Alligator mississippiensis: one gene and its partner. Each later gene encodes a partner of the first gene's protein in a complex. Links are inferred from orthologs where the notes say so. Each region holds a gene or a part of one and is shown on either strand. Other genes may lie near its edges.

What was found.
Region 2: the proteins of UBE2O (region 1) and NAP1L1 are in contact, whole or in part, in a cryo-EM structure (PDB 7UN6), measured with the Homo sapiens proteins. The link is inferred for Alligator mississippiensis from reciprocal best matches to the Homo sapiens genes UBE2O and NAP1L1. Residues at the interface, in NP_071349.3 of Homo sapiens: Ser225, Asn226, Val282, Lys283, Pro284, Val285, Lys289, Ser290, Lys291, Phe292, Arg293; in NP_001317160.1 of Homo sapiens: Arg333, Arg337, Thr343, Gly344, Glu345, Ala346, Ile347, Asp349.

Annotation. Positions count from the first base shown.
Region 1 is NC_081831.1:13,954,143-13,961,961, forward strand, and holds the start of UBE2O ((E3-independent) E2 ubiquitin-conjugating enzyme), read right to left. Parts: upstream 3,297-7,819; 5' UTR 3,273-3,296; coding exon 2,874-3,272; intron 1-2,873. UniProt on the Homo sapiens protein: E2/E3 hybrid ubiquitin-protein ligase that displays both E2 and E3 ligase activities and mediates monoubiquitination of target proteins. Negatively regulates TRAF6-mediated NF-kappa-B activation independently of its E2 activity.
Region 2 is NC_081827.1:74,579,640-74,587,429, reverse strand, and holds the start of NAP1L1 (nucleosome assembly protein 1-like 1), read left to right. Parts: upstream 1-4,415; 5' UTR 4,416-4,523; intron 4,524-7,790. UniProt on the Homo sapiens protein: Histone chaperone that plays a role in the nuclear import of H2A-H2B and nucleosome assembly.

The DNA.
Region 1 (7,819 bases):
CCCCTATCCTTATTACTAGTTGGTTGCTAATGCCTAAAACTACTGTAACTGCAATAGTTACCATTCCTCCTTCCCAGCCTGAATTACTGCATTTACACTTTGCATCTTCACGTTTGGACAATGAAAACCATCAGTTTCTCGTGCGTTAGCAAAACCTGCAGCATTCAGGTCAGAAGTGATACACAGTTTTATGAACTGTGAACAGATGTGAAATGAAATATCCTGTAAGGTTTACCAGAATCACAAACGCAATCCAAACTGTACCAAATGGCCTCTCAGTTTGGTGAGTAGAGGGAAATTTTCAGACGGGGAAGGGCAGCAAGAAGTCAAAGGGATACGTCTTCCTAAATTCCTTCAGCACTTTGGAATTCCCCCGACAACACATTTTATCTGTTAAGTCTCTGACCTTTGCAAAGGAAATAGGGCAATAAAAGAGAAAGGAAAAAGGCTACTAATTTAAACAACCTCTTTTGATTTCTCATAGCAAGAGAGCCAAGCCTTCTGCCTATACTGAAGAGAGGAAAAAAAGGTGCCATGAGAAAATGGATACTGCTATTTTCTACTCAAGGACCCTGATAATGAATCCTAAATTCGAAGCTTCATGCTTTAGGTGCCAAAAATTGATTTAAGAGCTTAACTCCAGTCATTTTTAAAAGAATTTTCGTGTGAAAAGGAACGATTGCCTGATGGACCACAAGTCCAAGAAGGGTTGAAAAATAAATGCAGAAATACTGTGCATAGTACTAATAGCCTTCTATATTTCATATTGTGTGCCTTAACTGTTCACGTGCCTGGTGATGACAGACCCTAAATTTAGCTCAGACCATTAGCATTTTATGATCCTACCGATTTCTACTAGAATTACAAATGCACTGATTGCTTCAGAAGTCCAGGGAGGATTCTACAGAGGGAGGTCAAAGACTGTGCAGAGAGCGCGCGCATGCTTGCACTTAGCCCCACAGAGCAGAATACAACCTCTCTGCTGCCAGGACAGCACAGGCCTTCTGTTTTGTTCTGCGTGACGCCCATTCATCACAGACCCCTTTGTATTATGATACAGTGCCCTCTCTCTCCCTCTCTTTTGTCTCCCCTGTATTATCAGTCACTGTGTGTAACAATCCCACCACTAGGCTAACTTTGGGAAGTGGGAGCAGTGGAAAAGCAGGCCTCAAATCCTTCCAGCAATGCCTTGCAGCTCTTCAAAGAGGGGTAAAGGGGTTGAACTTTACACAGGCCTGACTGCCAGCAAGGACCACTGGAGAGAAAAACAAGGGTAAATCCATGAATCCACCCTGGTCTAAAACCTTCAGCTGGTCAAGCCTAGCACAGACATCTCACACATTCCATATGAGAAGGAGATATAGGATATACGCTGTACCGGCTTCTACCGAGAGTGGAGAAACTCCTTTATGACCTCTTCACAGTTTAATTCACCTTCACATACTAACAGTTTTCAAATCTTTGGGTGGGGAAAGAAGGGGAGGCTCATTTTCAACCAAAAAACCCAGGCTGGCCCGGGGTGGCTGCCTCTAGACTCTGCACGGTCTGTAGTTGAGACTCAAGCAGAATCCAACACCAAGTTTGAACATGTCGAGACCTGATGTGGCTCATTTCCCCCTCCTCCCAAACACACCAGCACCAGCAGACGCGAGGAACCCGCTGCGCTTCCAAAGGAAACGAGGAATTATTTTAAGCCACGGCGACTCCAGGCCGCGCTGGCTCCCAGCAGCAGCCGTGCAAAGCAGCCCAGCAACTGGGGCACAGGGTGGCTGTGGGGCATGCCTACAGGCTCAGCTGGCTGAGGTAGGCCACCGCGGCCCCCGGGGTCCCCCCGTCCCTCGCGCACCGAGGCAGCGACCGGCTTCCAAGCAATGTGCCTTTCATTCAGACATGGCTGCAGCCAACGCGCGTGCCTGACACCCCGGGCCAGCCCAGATGCATGGGGGGGCTGCACACCTGGGGGCAAAACTTGACTTTAGCAGGAGACAAGCAGCACTGGGGGGTGCCAGTGAATTTCAGATCCGGGTGGGGCCCGGCCTGGTAACACGGGCAGACGTCACATTGCACCAGGATTGGGGCCAGGGTGGGGAGCACTATGGCGTGGGGGGGTTCTGGTTCAATACATGCATATATCATAATACATTCCCTTAATACGTGGGGATGGGGAGATTCGGGGTGCAGCCCCCACACAAATACATGCATACTACGCAAATATATACATATATGCCAATGGGCCCATTTAATAAGTAAATATGAGGGGATGGGGAGCATGGTTCAGGGTGCTGCCCCTGCACACAAATAGACACTATGCAAATATATTATATGCGCTAATGCCCCCACTTAACATGCAAATATGCAGGGATGGGGGTGGGGTTCAGGATGCAGCCACCAGAGACAAATACATAGATAGTATGGAGATACATTATATGTGCTAATACCCCCACTTAACGTGCAAATAGGAGGGGAGGGGGCTTGGGGTGCACCCTCACACATGAAGACTAAGGTGGTGTACAAATATATGACTATCCCCACTTCATATACGAATACACGGGGACGGGGGACTCAGGGCGCAGCCCCCACTGATGAGTAGGTAGATATTATGCAAATATATACAGGTATCCCCGCTTAACAGGGACAGAGGAGGGGACGGGGCGGTTTGGGGTGCAGCCCCCATACCTTAATCGGCAGGCATTAGGCAAATACATGCATGTGTGCTAATGTCCCCACTTAATAGGCACAGGCGCGGGGCCGGGCGGTCTGGGCGCGCCCCGCACGCGGCACGCAGGTGGTGTGCCACCGCACGCCAGGGTCCCGCTCGACACGCGCCCCGAGGTGCTCACGCGGCGGCCGGGCCGGGCCGGGCCGGGCCCCACCTTGGTCTCCTTGACGTGCTGCTTGACGCCCTCGGGGTACCACTGCACCCGCACGTAGCCGCGGCGCAGGGGGCTGGCTCGGCTCTCGTCCGCGCCGCCGGCCCCGGGCGCGCCCGACTCGGAGCCGCCCGAGCTGCCGGCGCCGGCGCCGGCGCCGCGGCCGCCCTCGTCCTCCTCAGAGTCCGAGTCCTCGCCGTGGATGAGCCGCACCAGGCCGAAGCGCACGGCGCCCCGGTAGCGCCCCGACACCAGGTCGTGCGAGAAGAGCAGGCGCTGCGAGCCGGCGGCGGGGGGCTCGGGCGCGGCGGTGGCGGCGGGGGGCTCGGGCTCAGGCTCGGCCGGCGCTGGAGCCGGAGCCGGGGCCGGGGCCGGCGCGGGCGCTGCGGGCTGCTCCGCCATGGCGCCGGTCTGCGTGAGCGGGGGGCGCCGCGGGCAGGAGGCGGCGGGGGCGGGGCCAGGTCGCGTCACGGCCGGGGGGGCGGGGCTGGAGGCGGGCCCCCGCCCACTGCGCGACGGCGAGACTCGCGTCAAGGCCCCACCCACCGCGGGCTGCTCGGACGCTACGTGTGCCAGACAGCGGTAGCCCCGCCCACTGCCGGGAGCCGGATGTTAGCCCGCCCCTTCGGGAGACGCGTCACGGCCCGGCGGCGAGGCCCCGCCCACCGCGGGCAGCCCGGGAGTGACGTCTCCCTGCCTGCGGTAAGCCCCGCCCGCCACCGGGAGCCGGATGTTGGCCCGCCCCTTCGGGAGACGCGTCTCTCCGAGGGGATTTGGGCAGGGCCCTGCCTTCAGTCAGTGGCAGAGGAGTGCTGCCCACCTCGCTCGTGGTGTCATAGTTGTTAGGGGCTGGAAGGGACCTTGCAGATCATCGGGTCCAGCCCCCCTGCACGTGGGCAGGACAGACCGCTGGGGTCAGATGCCCCAGCAAGGTGGGCGTCAAGACACTTTGTACCCATTGTATCTTGTCCTCTGCTGGGGGGGCCTTGGTGAATAGATGCTCCCCCAGGCCCTGATGTGCGCCCCTCATAGACTTATAGTCCCCTCTGTGTCTGGGGACACGGCTCCCCTGCTCCCGGGGAGCAGCCATCGTGCCGGAGGGCTTCTTGTGCAGGATTTTTGCTCCCCCCCCAAGGCTTGAGACTTCATTTTGCAGAGGAAAGGTGTCACCCCCTGGTTGTGGAAGGAGCCGCCCTGTGCCAGGCCCTTCCCCAGGGCAGGGGTGGCCATCTCTGTATCGCCCTGGAGTCACAGGGCTCGGAAATTGGTGCCGCATCTGGACCTAGCCAGCACTGAACGAAAAGGGAAATCGTGAATAAAACAGATGTTTTTCCTCTGCAAAATAAAGTCTCAAGACTTGGGTGGGGAGGAGCAAACATCCTGCATTAGGTGCTGGCAAGCAGGGCAGGGCTGAGCATGCGTGTGCCTGTGCCCCCCTCCCCTGCATCCTCCCAGCCCTACTGAGCAGCATCCCTTTGTGCCCTTACCCCCGTGTGCTGGTCCAGCGCCGTGCTGGGGGTCCCTGGTCATGCTTCATCAGGCCTCGCCTGACTTCCTGGTGCCCCTGCTGATGCCCAGCCTAACAGCAGCAGAAGAGGGCTCCACAACCTTCTTCCCTGTCTGATCTTCCCCCACCTGTAGCCCCACGTGCACAGCCCGTGTCTCCATGTGCTCTGCCAGCCCAGACCCTTTGCCAGCTGGCGTCTGATGCCTCAGGTGCACATTGCCCTGGAGACTGGTCTGCTGCACTAGGACCCCCCTACTCCAGCTCCCTGTGAGCTTGTGATCCTACTGCTCTAGGGTCTGCATGGCTGACTCCAGGTCTCCAGGGGGAGGTTAAGGTATTAGTTTTAATCCTTAAAGCCCTACGTGGCTGGGGAGTCTGGATCTACCTGCTAAATGGTCTATGGCTGTCCACGATCCCAGATGCACTCGAGCTGAATCCTCCTTGATATAGCTGAGGGGGAGTGCTCAGCAGCCTGATATCCATAAACTGAGAAATTTACTGTTCACCTTGGTATGAAGAGGCTTAAGTCAGCTGAGTTGGAGATAGCCTGGCACGGCTCCTTTGTTTCCTTCTGGGAAGGGAGGGAGAGGCTCCTCAAATGCTGTTTTTCATGAGCTGGGAGGGATATGGAGTAGTTTCAACTTTCACTTTAGGGGCAAGGCCATTTCTGTTGTGGGGAGAAGAGAAGGGGATGAGGAAGTTTCATTGGTGTGTAACTGTAGATTAAACATGTTTCAAGCCACCTTTCTCATCCTCAGCCCTGCTCTGAAGATGGTCTCAGAGACCCATAGACTGTACGTGAGCCCCAAGGAGTAGGAGAAGCAGAGGTATCTAGAGCTTGGACACCAGACCAGCTGCAAAACAAAGAACACCACCCGGTCTCACTCCTGAGGCAGTGCCTAATCTGCCAGGCCCATGTGTCCTAAGGGGAGCATTTCCACTGGCTGCAAAGAAGACCAAAGATACAAATAATTTCAAGCCACTCCATGGCCTAGGCCCAGAGCACCTAATATAGTGCCTCAAACTCCAGGATGAAGATGATGGTTGACAATGTCCCTCTTGGAATTTGGGTAAAACTCATGTTTACAAGAGACAGAATTTTCTTAGGGGCTGATCCTAGTGTGTTGAATGAAATCCCGTGGAAAAGGCCACAAACATTACTACCTGCTCCTCACTATGTTGCAGATCAAAGCCCATTACTTGACCTCTTCCATTTGAGTGAATGGTTGTTAGTCCCAAGGTTTCTCCCAAAGGAAAAGAAATCCAGCAATGCAATCAAGTACCAGCAAAAATACTCCCTCGTATTTCCAGGTCCCCTTGACTCTGGGGGACAAGATCCACCCATAGTCCAAAGAGTGGCTGTGTGTTTCCCAACTTTATGCCAACAAGTTGTGTTGACAGAATGCAACTGTGCATGTAAGTGTGTTTTAAAGGATTCATGTTGTACTCCAAGTCAGACTAGGGTAAATATGGAGTGACGTGATTGACTTCCCCAGCAATCTTCCAGAGTTACAACCACGTGCAGTGTCAGATCAGTGAAAAGGATATAGCAAGCCAAGGTATTACATTTCTGTTCTCAGCTGCCAGAATGGGCTGTTGGGAATCTCTAGGTAGAAGCTAGATCAATTCTTGGACTGTTCTAGCATATGCGTGGTGATAAAATGATCCCCCGTTGTCTCAAAATTAGGAAACTGCAAAGGTGATACAAAGCCATCGTTTCTTCCTCCTTTTTAGGTTTGGCAAAGCTAGAACCAAATATTAGGAGCCTAATCTCTAAGTATAAGGGAAAGGATATAGCTTTATAACACTGTTATTTTGCCTCTAAGAGCATCTCTCAACATTAATCATGGCTTCTTTTGTGATTTCACACCTGGAAACAGAGCAGTGGGTGGAAGGATTCATTGTCTTTTGGGGTAGAAAAGGATAGCATCAATCAAGAAAGAAATGTTAAGTCTCTTATATATGTCAGGTTGAGATAAAACATTCATGAATAGGGGTGAGGAGTGCTTTTAATACTATGAAGCCATTATCTGCATACCATAGAGGCCAGCGATGTGTAACAGCCACTAATTAGTTGCTCACAAGGGGAGAGGAACAGTGGGCATAAACTCAGTGATAAAACACGCTCTAGCCCGACTTGAAGTTGATGGTGCTTCATGTGCGATACTCCACTGTGATGGTGCTAGGGAAGGGGCTGAAGTGGAGGGGATTACTAATTTGTCTGCATGTCCTGGTCACCTTCTCAGCATAGCCACTTCACCTTCAAGGCAATGGCAAGGTGGTTGGCCATTGATACTGTGTCCTTTGAAACCAGGCTGATGTCACTGGAAACAGAAGCGAGTCTTTAGGGATTAAAGGATCTTTAGGATTCCGCTGGACTGGGTAATTTGGACTAGAACAAGTGGTTACGTTCTTTCCATCGTTGACAGAAAAGGATTTTATGTGGCAGCATTCTGGCAGTCCCCAGGCTTTTTCCATCTTCTCTCTGCAGCTTGTACCAACACTGCTTTTAAAAATAATTTATTCCTGGGCATAAATCATGAGTTTATTTGGAACTACCTGGTATTCAGAGTAATTCCCCTCTGTAGAACACCGTTTGGACTTCAGGTTGTACATAGCCGTATGATGCAAATGGGGAGATGAAACTGTTCACCAGAAATGCAACACAGGCGTTTTAATGGAACCCAATCAGGAGTATTTGTTTGTCAGGAACAGAGCAGGTGAGAGCTATTTTCTTCCCTATACTCCTAACTGTGGCTCTGAGGTACTCTCATATGGAAGCACACTTCACTTGTTGGTAAAGAGATCACCTTTGGTTTTAGACTCAGTAGCACAGCATCTGAGCTGCTTCTCCAGACTGACATACTGCTGCTGGCTTTCTGTCCCATGGAAGGACACAGGATAGGAGGAAGGAACAGCTTCTATTAGGTTGACCATGGTAGTAAGACTTAGGAATTTGGGGTTCAGTTCTCAAATCTACCCATGACTTGCCAAGTGAACTCAGGTGAAAAAAGAAATAGCGGCTGATTTTAATTGTGTCACATTCTAGATGCCCAAATTGTGCCAAAAATTCAGACTATCTGTGAAGCCCTGGATCTCCCAGTTTCCTCAGCTACAGTAGTGAATACTCAGCAGTTCTGAAAAGTGAAGCATGTAAAACTGTGCACCCAAAATAGACACACCTTTAAATCAGCGGTTATTTTTGGAAACACTGGCCTTCATCTCTTGGTGGATCAACAGCCCGTCCCTAGTAAAACACATCCCTGATACAAAGCAGTGGTTGCAAGACTTGATTTACTAATGTGTGTCCTCCTGGTCTATGGATAGGTGTTGTCCCTGACCCCAGTGCAGGGATGATATGTGAACTCAAGAACAGCTTTGTCTTTCTGGTGCTCAGATACCGCGGTGGTAGTTGGAGTAGAAATGCAGATAGCTACAACTG
Region 2 (7,790 bases), on another chromosome or scaffold:
AACCTGTTCCAGTCCTTTAACACCCTCCTAATGAGAGAGATTTTCCCTAATATCCAACCTAAACTTCCCTTGCTGCAACTTGAGACCATTGCTCCTTGTTCTGTCAGCTGCCACCACTGAGAGCAGTCTAGCTCCATCCTCTTTGGAACCACCCACCCATCAGGTAGCTGAAGGCTGCTATTAAATCCACCCTTCAGTCTTCTCTTCTCCAGATTGAATAAGCCCAAATCCCTCAGCCTCCCTCCTAAATAGGGACCTACGTAATTCATAGAGGTTGCCTCCAAAGTCACAGTCCTGGCATGGTGTTGGGTGTCATTTTCATAGTGGAGCGCCACTGCACCCATGCCTCTGATTGGCTGAGGGGCCCCAGAAGTCCCACCCTTCTCCAAAGATTGATAGGTGGCCACCTGTCAATCTCCAGGGAGGGATAGGACTTTTGGTGCCCCTTGGCCAATCAGAGGCATGGGGGGGCTCTTCTGGCCCTCCGTGGGGATTGACAGATGGTCACCTATCAATCTCTGGGGAGGGGAAGGGCTGCTGGGGCCCCTCAGAATCAGAGGAAGGGAGGGGCCTCTCCAGCTCCTCCCTGGAGGTTGATAGATGGCTATTTGTCAATCTCTGGGAAGGGGTGGGACTTGTGAGACCCCTCAGCCAATCAGAGGCATGGGGAGGGGCTGCCAGCTCCACCACAAAAATCTCCTCCTGCTCCCTCCCACTTCCCTCTCCCTTCCTGGGCTTCAGCACATCAGGGCTTCCTGCCTCCGTTTGCAGCTCCCTTCATTCCCCCGTCCCCGTTTTCCTGCTTTTTCATAGACCTACCAAATTTGCAGTTTCTGCAAAACTCATAAGCCCTGTTCCCTAGCCTTCTAACCATTTTTGTGGTCCTCTGCTGGACTCTCTCCAATTTGTACACATCCTTTTTGGAGTGGGAGGCCCAAAACTGGACACAGTACTGGAGATGTGGCCTGCCAGTACAGAATAGAGGGGAATAATCACTTACACTTACATTAATCTGCTAGGAACATCCCTCCTAATGCAGACCAGTATGGTGTTATCCTTCTTCATAACAAGGGCACACTCTTGGCTCACATTCAGCTTATTGTCGACTGTAACCCTCAGGTCTTTTTTTGCAGAGCTGCTGCTTAGCCAGTTGGATCCCAGCCTGTATGGGTGCATGGGATTGTTCCATCATAAGTGCAGGACTTTGCACTTGTCCTTATTGAATCTTATGAGATTTCTTTTGTCCAATCCTCCAATCCATTGAGGTCTCTCTGAATCCTAGTCCTACCCTCCAGCATATCTAGTATTCCCCCCAGCTTGGTGTCATCTACAAACTTGCATAGGTGCACCCTATGCCATCTTCCAGGTTGTTGATGAAGATACTGAACAAAACTGGCCCCAGGACTGATCCCTGGGGTACACTTGATGCCAGCTGCCAACTAGACATCAAGTCATTGATTACTGCCCTTTGGGCCTAACAATCCAGCCAGTTTTCTATCCACCTTACAGTCCGTTCATCCAACCCGGACTTCCTTAGCTCGGTTGTGAGAATGTTGTGGGAGACTGTATCAAAAGCCTTGCTAAAGTCTCAGTAGATCACGTCCACTGCTATCCCTGGATCCACAGAGCCATTTGTCTTGTCATAGAAGGCAACCAAGTTGGTCAGGCATGACTTGCTCGTGATGAATCCATGTTGACTGTCCCTAATCACCTTCTCCAAGTGTGTGTGTGGCTTCACTATTCCTGCACCTTAGTTCCTCTTACACCAGTTTCTGCAGCTGTAATGAGGGATTTTTGCCAGCCCCAAGTGGCTCCCACTTTTGTGTTTTGGAAGAATTATAGGTCACCTTTTCTGGGAAGAGAATCAGCCTGGAATATCTCTCACCTAAAAATCACTCTTTCCATTGGCCACTAGTAAGAAGCCAAACAGAGAAAGGATTCATTACATAGTATGAAAGAGCCATACAAATAATACAGACCATAGGTTTGGAGACAGAAACATAGAACAAGTGTAGATTCTTACCCTCTCATCTGGCTCCCCCTAGCCATCCATGAGAGTCTTTTCCAGAGGCCTTTCTGCTGACTCTGGCAGTTACACCTTGTAACTGGGGCCAGCAAACTCCCGAAGCCTGAGATTCAAAGATGAATATTCTAGCTCATCTAAGGTCATGCCTGTAAGCCCCCCAAACCCTCCCCATAATTAGCAGCATTATAACGATGATGAGTAACCAGAATCCCCCAGAAACTTCTGGTGTTCTTGGAGCACCTGGAGTCCTGCTGGCTTGATGGGCCATTACTCCTTATAGCCTTCACTACTATACAGTTCATTACCCATATCATAGTGAACAATGTCCAAGGGTGCCCATCCCACCAGCAGCCCCTTTCTTTTGCTATTGTGAGTAGCAATTTTTCTGGCCCTAGAAGCAACAGCAAGAGTTAATTAGGAGTTCTGCCCACTCTCTGAGTTCTCTGGCTCTTTAGGCGACCACCGATCCTCTGGATCATGGTGTACGCCTAAGAAGTCTAGTCAGGTGCTTGGTGAATCTGCTTGTGACTGACAAGCCCAGTTTGAAAGTGACACAACTTGTTACAAGTTTCACACAGCCATGTATTGTCTGAGTTGGAGTCCAAGTTTACAGCACACTATGTCCTTCTTTCTCACTTTGCTTCCATCCTCTGGATCAAAGCTGCTTCATGGTGAGCTGCACCCAGTTCCAGATGTTCCCTCCAGATTGGACGGGATTCTGCGTGCTCCTCCCAGCTTTCTATGCTGATGTCAAACAACTTATCATTTCTGCATGTGTTGTGGTACTGCCACAGAGCGCGACCCTTCTTTCTAGAACTGCCTCGAATCTCTCACTGTATCAAATATTCTTGGGGATATGGTGTCTTCCCATTCTCCTGACTTGGTCAAGCCATCACAACCTCCTCTTCTTGATGGCGGGTCCTGAGTGTGTCAGTCCTCCGTGCTCCAGCACCTTTGTTTGACATTTTGTCTTCCTACTTTGTTCTCTGGCTAAAACATCCAAAACCATAGAGATATACACAGCCAGCTTAACATAATCCATACAGTGATAGTAGCATAGAGTTGGCACAACACTTTTTAACTGGGATTTCAAATGAGCCCACACCTGCCCTATCAGTACAATAAAACACCAGAAAATGATGGCATGTCATGGAGCCCAAAACACAACAGGGTCTGCAGCACTAGGAATAACTGTTGTGGGGGAACAACCCTTACCCTCACCCTCCATTTTCTGTCTTTACATTTCTCCTTTAGGCCTGTCTCTCTCAGGTTTGCTGTCCCAGCCTGAATCTCATGATGTTATAGGGGACTAAAACTACAGAACAAGGTCCTTTCTCTGTTGATTTGCCCTGTTCCCCTACCACATTTCTCTCCAGATTAAGTAATGGCTTGGGGGGCATTTCTGTGGTCTGGCCACTTTGTGCGTTTCCTTCTTCTTCTGTCAGTAGATAACCTGTCAGCTCTCCCCCAGCCTGGTTCTGCAGGGCAGGGATGCTCTCTGTGAGGGCCTTTACAACACTATGAGGGAAATACTGGGTAGCCTGAGCAGCACAGTGCTATATTTATGCAGGCGAGGTTCTTTGGGTTACCTTGATATAGCAGCACAGTGCAGCCTGGGCAGCACAGTGCTCACCAGCTATGCCCATGCCACTGATGGTGTGGGCAGGTGCCCGCCCAGACTCAGGAGGCACCAGTCCCCTGTGTTTGCGTAGATGTGATCTTTTATTAAACCAACTAAATAGTCGGGAAAAAAAGGTTCTTTGCACAGTCTGGCACGGAAACAGCCTTCGTCAGGCAGAGGAATGCTCTGCTATACTGATGGGTTGTAGCCCTGCTGGTCTCAGGACAGGGGAAGGCGAGTTCTCTGGGTAGATGCAGTCTCTTTTATCAAGCAGACTGAGTACTGCTATAAGAGATCGCATCTACCCAAAGAACCTGGTCTCCTAGATTTTTGGCACGTGGCCTGAGGCGCCGGCGGCCTGTCCCGTGCCTCCGCAGCCAACGCCACCGGCCTGGCGGGATGAGCGCGGGCTCAGGCCAGCCCCGCCCAGGCAGGAAGCGCGTGCGGGCTGGGGGAGGGGCGTCACTCGCAAGCCCAGCAGCTCCCGTGCAGATAACGCGCATGAGCTCTGCTATGGCCAAGTTGAGGGCGGGAGAGGAGGGTGCCGGCTGCGCGCGCAGGCCTTGCTATTGCGCAGGCGCCCTGCCTGGCCAGGCTGTGCAGGCTGGGAGGGGAGAGTTCCCGCCGGCCTTCGGGAGGCGTTGGGGGGGGTGGAGTGCGCGCGCTCGCGTTGTCTTGGCGACAGGGGCGCGCGGGGAAGGGGAAGGGGGAGGGGGAGGAGGGAGGGGGCGGGCGCGCTGCGTGGTGACGTGAATTCTATATGAGCGCGAGCGGCGGGAGCCCGGGCCCTTTTACCGCCAGCCGCGCGGCGCCGCCTCCTCCTCGCTCCTGAGTCACCGCCGCCCCGGCCCGGTCCGGCTCCGGCCCCGCGCGCAGGTACCGCCGTGCGCCGGGGGAGTAGAGTGGGGCTGGGGGGCCGCGCCTGAGGGTGGCGCCCCCCGACCCGGGGCTGGGGGCGCCCCCCCCCCCCCCGCGCCCGTAGGCCGCGCCCGGCCTGCCCGGGCCCGGCAGCACGTTGGGCCAACCGGGCCCCACCGCCACGTGAGCTGGGGGGAGGGGGCGTGAGGGGTGGCGGACTGACAGGGGCAGAGCAGGGGAGGCCGCGGGCGGCCCCGGGAACGGGGGAGGGGGCGGGTCTGGCGGCCGCACGGCGCTCCCGAGAGGGGGGCGGCTCGCTGCGGCGGGGGAAGGGAAGGGCCGGCAGAGGTTTTGCATAGGAAGCGGCCTGCAGGGAGCAGGGTGAGGAGGGCACCTGTTCATCCTCCCCTGCCGCTGGGCCCCGGTCACCTTGACTCGAGCTGCTGGTTGTGAATGGTGAAAGTGCGCACTGGCCCTAAGGAAACCTTCCCTGAGAGAGACAGCGAGACGGCCCCCTGTGCTGGGGCCCAAGACGGTGCTGAATTTAAGATGCTCCTCCCCCCCCATCAGCTTCTAGACATGGCAAACTTACCTGTTTGTTTTCGTTGTGGTTTTCCACTTGCAGAATCCAGTTATTGGAGAGTTGCCTTAAATTCCTGCTCTGCCCCCAGCCCTCCCTGCTCTGCAGCAGGGTGAGCACGGGTGGGAGGGTGGGCTGACTCCTGCCATTTGCCCCCCAACACTGCTTGGCTGCTTATAGATGCATAGATTCATGCTTCCTCCCCTGCTGCCTGCCCCCACCATCTCCGGCTGTGCTCCCACCCCCACCCACCACTATTTACTCTCTGGTCCCAGTTTGACCACATGGCAGTAGTTACTCCAGCTTCACACTGTGCTGACAGGTCTGGGGCCTGGGCTGGAGTTGCCACCATCACTGCCATGTGGCCAGGCTGAGGCCCGCCCAACCATGTGCTCCAGGCTGGAGCCAAGGCCTGAGCCAAAGGAGCTGGGCAGGGGGAACAGTTTGTGACTCGGGGGGCTTCCCGCCTCCCCCGCCCCCTGTGTTAATTTGGGGAAAAATACGGTGTCTTGTAGTTGAGTACAAACAAGCTGTCAAAGTAGTAAAAAGATTGGAAGTTTACATTTTGATTAGTGTCTCAAGGGAATCAAGACATCAATCTCTTGGTGAATACTGGTTATGCTCTAGTATATGTTTCAAATATAAGGCTAAAGACTCGCCATTGAATGGTGTTTGAACACAAGTTGAATGTATCATCTGAATCAGGAGTTCTCAAACTGTGGTACATGTACCCCACGGGGCACGCAAGATATTTCTGGAAGTACGTGGGAGAAATTATGTAATGGTGGATTTAATTTTCATTATAATAATAGATGGCATATAAGGGGTTAAAATATAATTTCTATACTGGCAGCTGGTAAATCTGGAAGGGGATGTACAATAAGAAAAAGTTTGGGAACCTCTGATGTGAATTATATGATTTAGGGATGTAAATCTGTTGTATCTTATGTTTAAACTGGTACAGATCTAGTTAGTAATTATCTGATGTCTCAAAGAAAAAAAAGGTGATGCAAAAAGTGATGACGTTTGTCTAGTTTAAATTGCCTATTCATTGTTTTGTATATACATGTGGAACTGATCCAGAAAACAGTATTTTCAGAGTTGACACTGAACCAGCACTTCTGTATTAACCCAGGTCTTGGAAGACTAGAGTTCAATTACATATTCCACCATAAATTTCTTGTCCCCCAGTTTTTCCTCCAGAGTTCTGTAAAATAAAATAAGTGTGTATTTAGGGTGCACCGATAAAGATTTTCTTGGCCGATACTGATGGCTGATTATTAGCCAGCCATATTGGCCAATACAAAGCTGGTAGCTGATTTATAGGAATGCGGCGTCTGGCTGGTAAGTCCGGGGGGGTGGGGGGGGCAGGAGGAAGGTGCAGATCAAGGCCCCCACTTGAGGGAGGGAGTGGGGCAGGAGCAGGTGTTGCCCAGCTGGGGCTGTAAATGTTACCCCAGGGCGGGGTGCGGGACGGAGCTGCAGGTAGCTTGTCCGGGGTGGGGTGGGGGGGGTGGCTCCATGTCACTGCTTGGTCCTCGACTGAAGGCATGAGGGGCAAGTGCCTCCCCTCCCAGAATTGTGTGTTGGGGAAGGGCGGGCTTGGGGCTGCACCAGCCTCTTCCCGGAAGGTGGGAGGGGAGGTAGGCTAGGCCAGAGCTGTGGGTAGGGCTCAGGTAGGCTCAGCTGTTGCAGAGTGCAGTGCCTTGAGCAGGGACAGCACTAGGGGGCATTTGGGGGGCTATGACCACCCCAAAGTTTTCCATAGTGCCCCCGTAGCCACCTCTCCCAGCGCCACTGCTGCCTGCCCCATACAGCTGAACCTGCCTTGCCCCTGCCCTGACTACAGCCCTGGCCTAGCCCCCCTGCCAAAAAGAGGCTGGCACAGCCCCTGGCACCATGCCTGCAGCGGGCAGCCTGCCTTCACCCCACGCACAAGTGGGGGGGGTGGGCACACATGGCCCCCATGCCTCCACTGAGCGGCCCTCCCTTCTCCACCCCCCATGTCCGCCCGATGAGCCTCCGGCGGCTCCATCCCACACCCCGACCCACCTGGGCAGCAGCTGCCCCTGCCCTACTCCCTCCCTGTTGGGGCCTCAGTCTGCCCCCTTTGCTCCTTCCCCCCTGCCCCCCCCCCCAATAGACTTACTGGCCAGAGGCTGCTCTCCACTCTGCCAGGCTGCAGCATGCAGCTGCTTGCATGCACACAGCATTTATCAGTGACTATTGGCCAAAAAAAGCCAATTGCCAATGATGTTAATTTTTCTGTTACCGGTGCCCATCCAATTTGTGACTGATATATCGGTGTACCTCTAGTGTTTATACAAAAGTTTACTTCTAAAAGATATTTTGGGGTTAGGTGGCAATGATTATTAATTTGCTAACTGTGTGCATCTGCAGGCTAGTGTCTAGCTAAGCAGTATTAATAACTTATAATAATGAATTAAGTGAGTTATATCACTTGAAGCCAGAGAATTCCAAAGCAGTTCATGAACTTAAGCTGATCTACAAAAATATGTATTAGGAATCATTACATGCCCTTCTAGAGTGAATGGACAGTTGTAATATACTCTGGAGCAAAATTGTGTTGTTCAGCATGAAGTTTAATAGCTTCAAGCAGGAGTATGCACAGTTGCGGTCTAGCTGGTATTTCATCTGCATGGCAACACTTTTTTGGGCTACTGTTCACTAAACTGACCACTGGC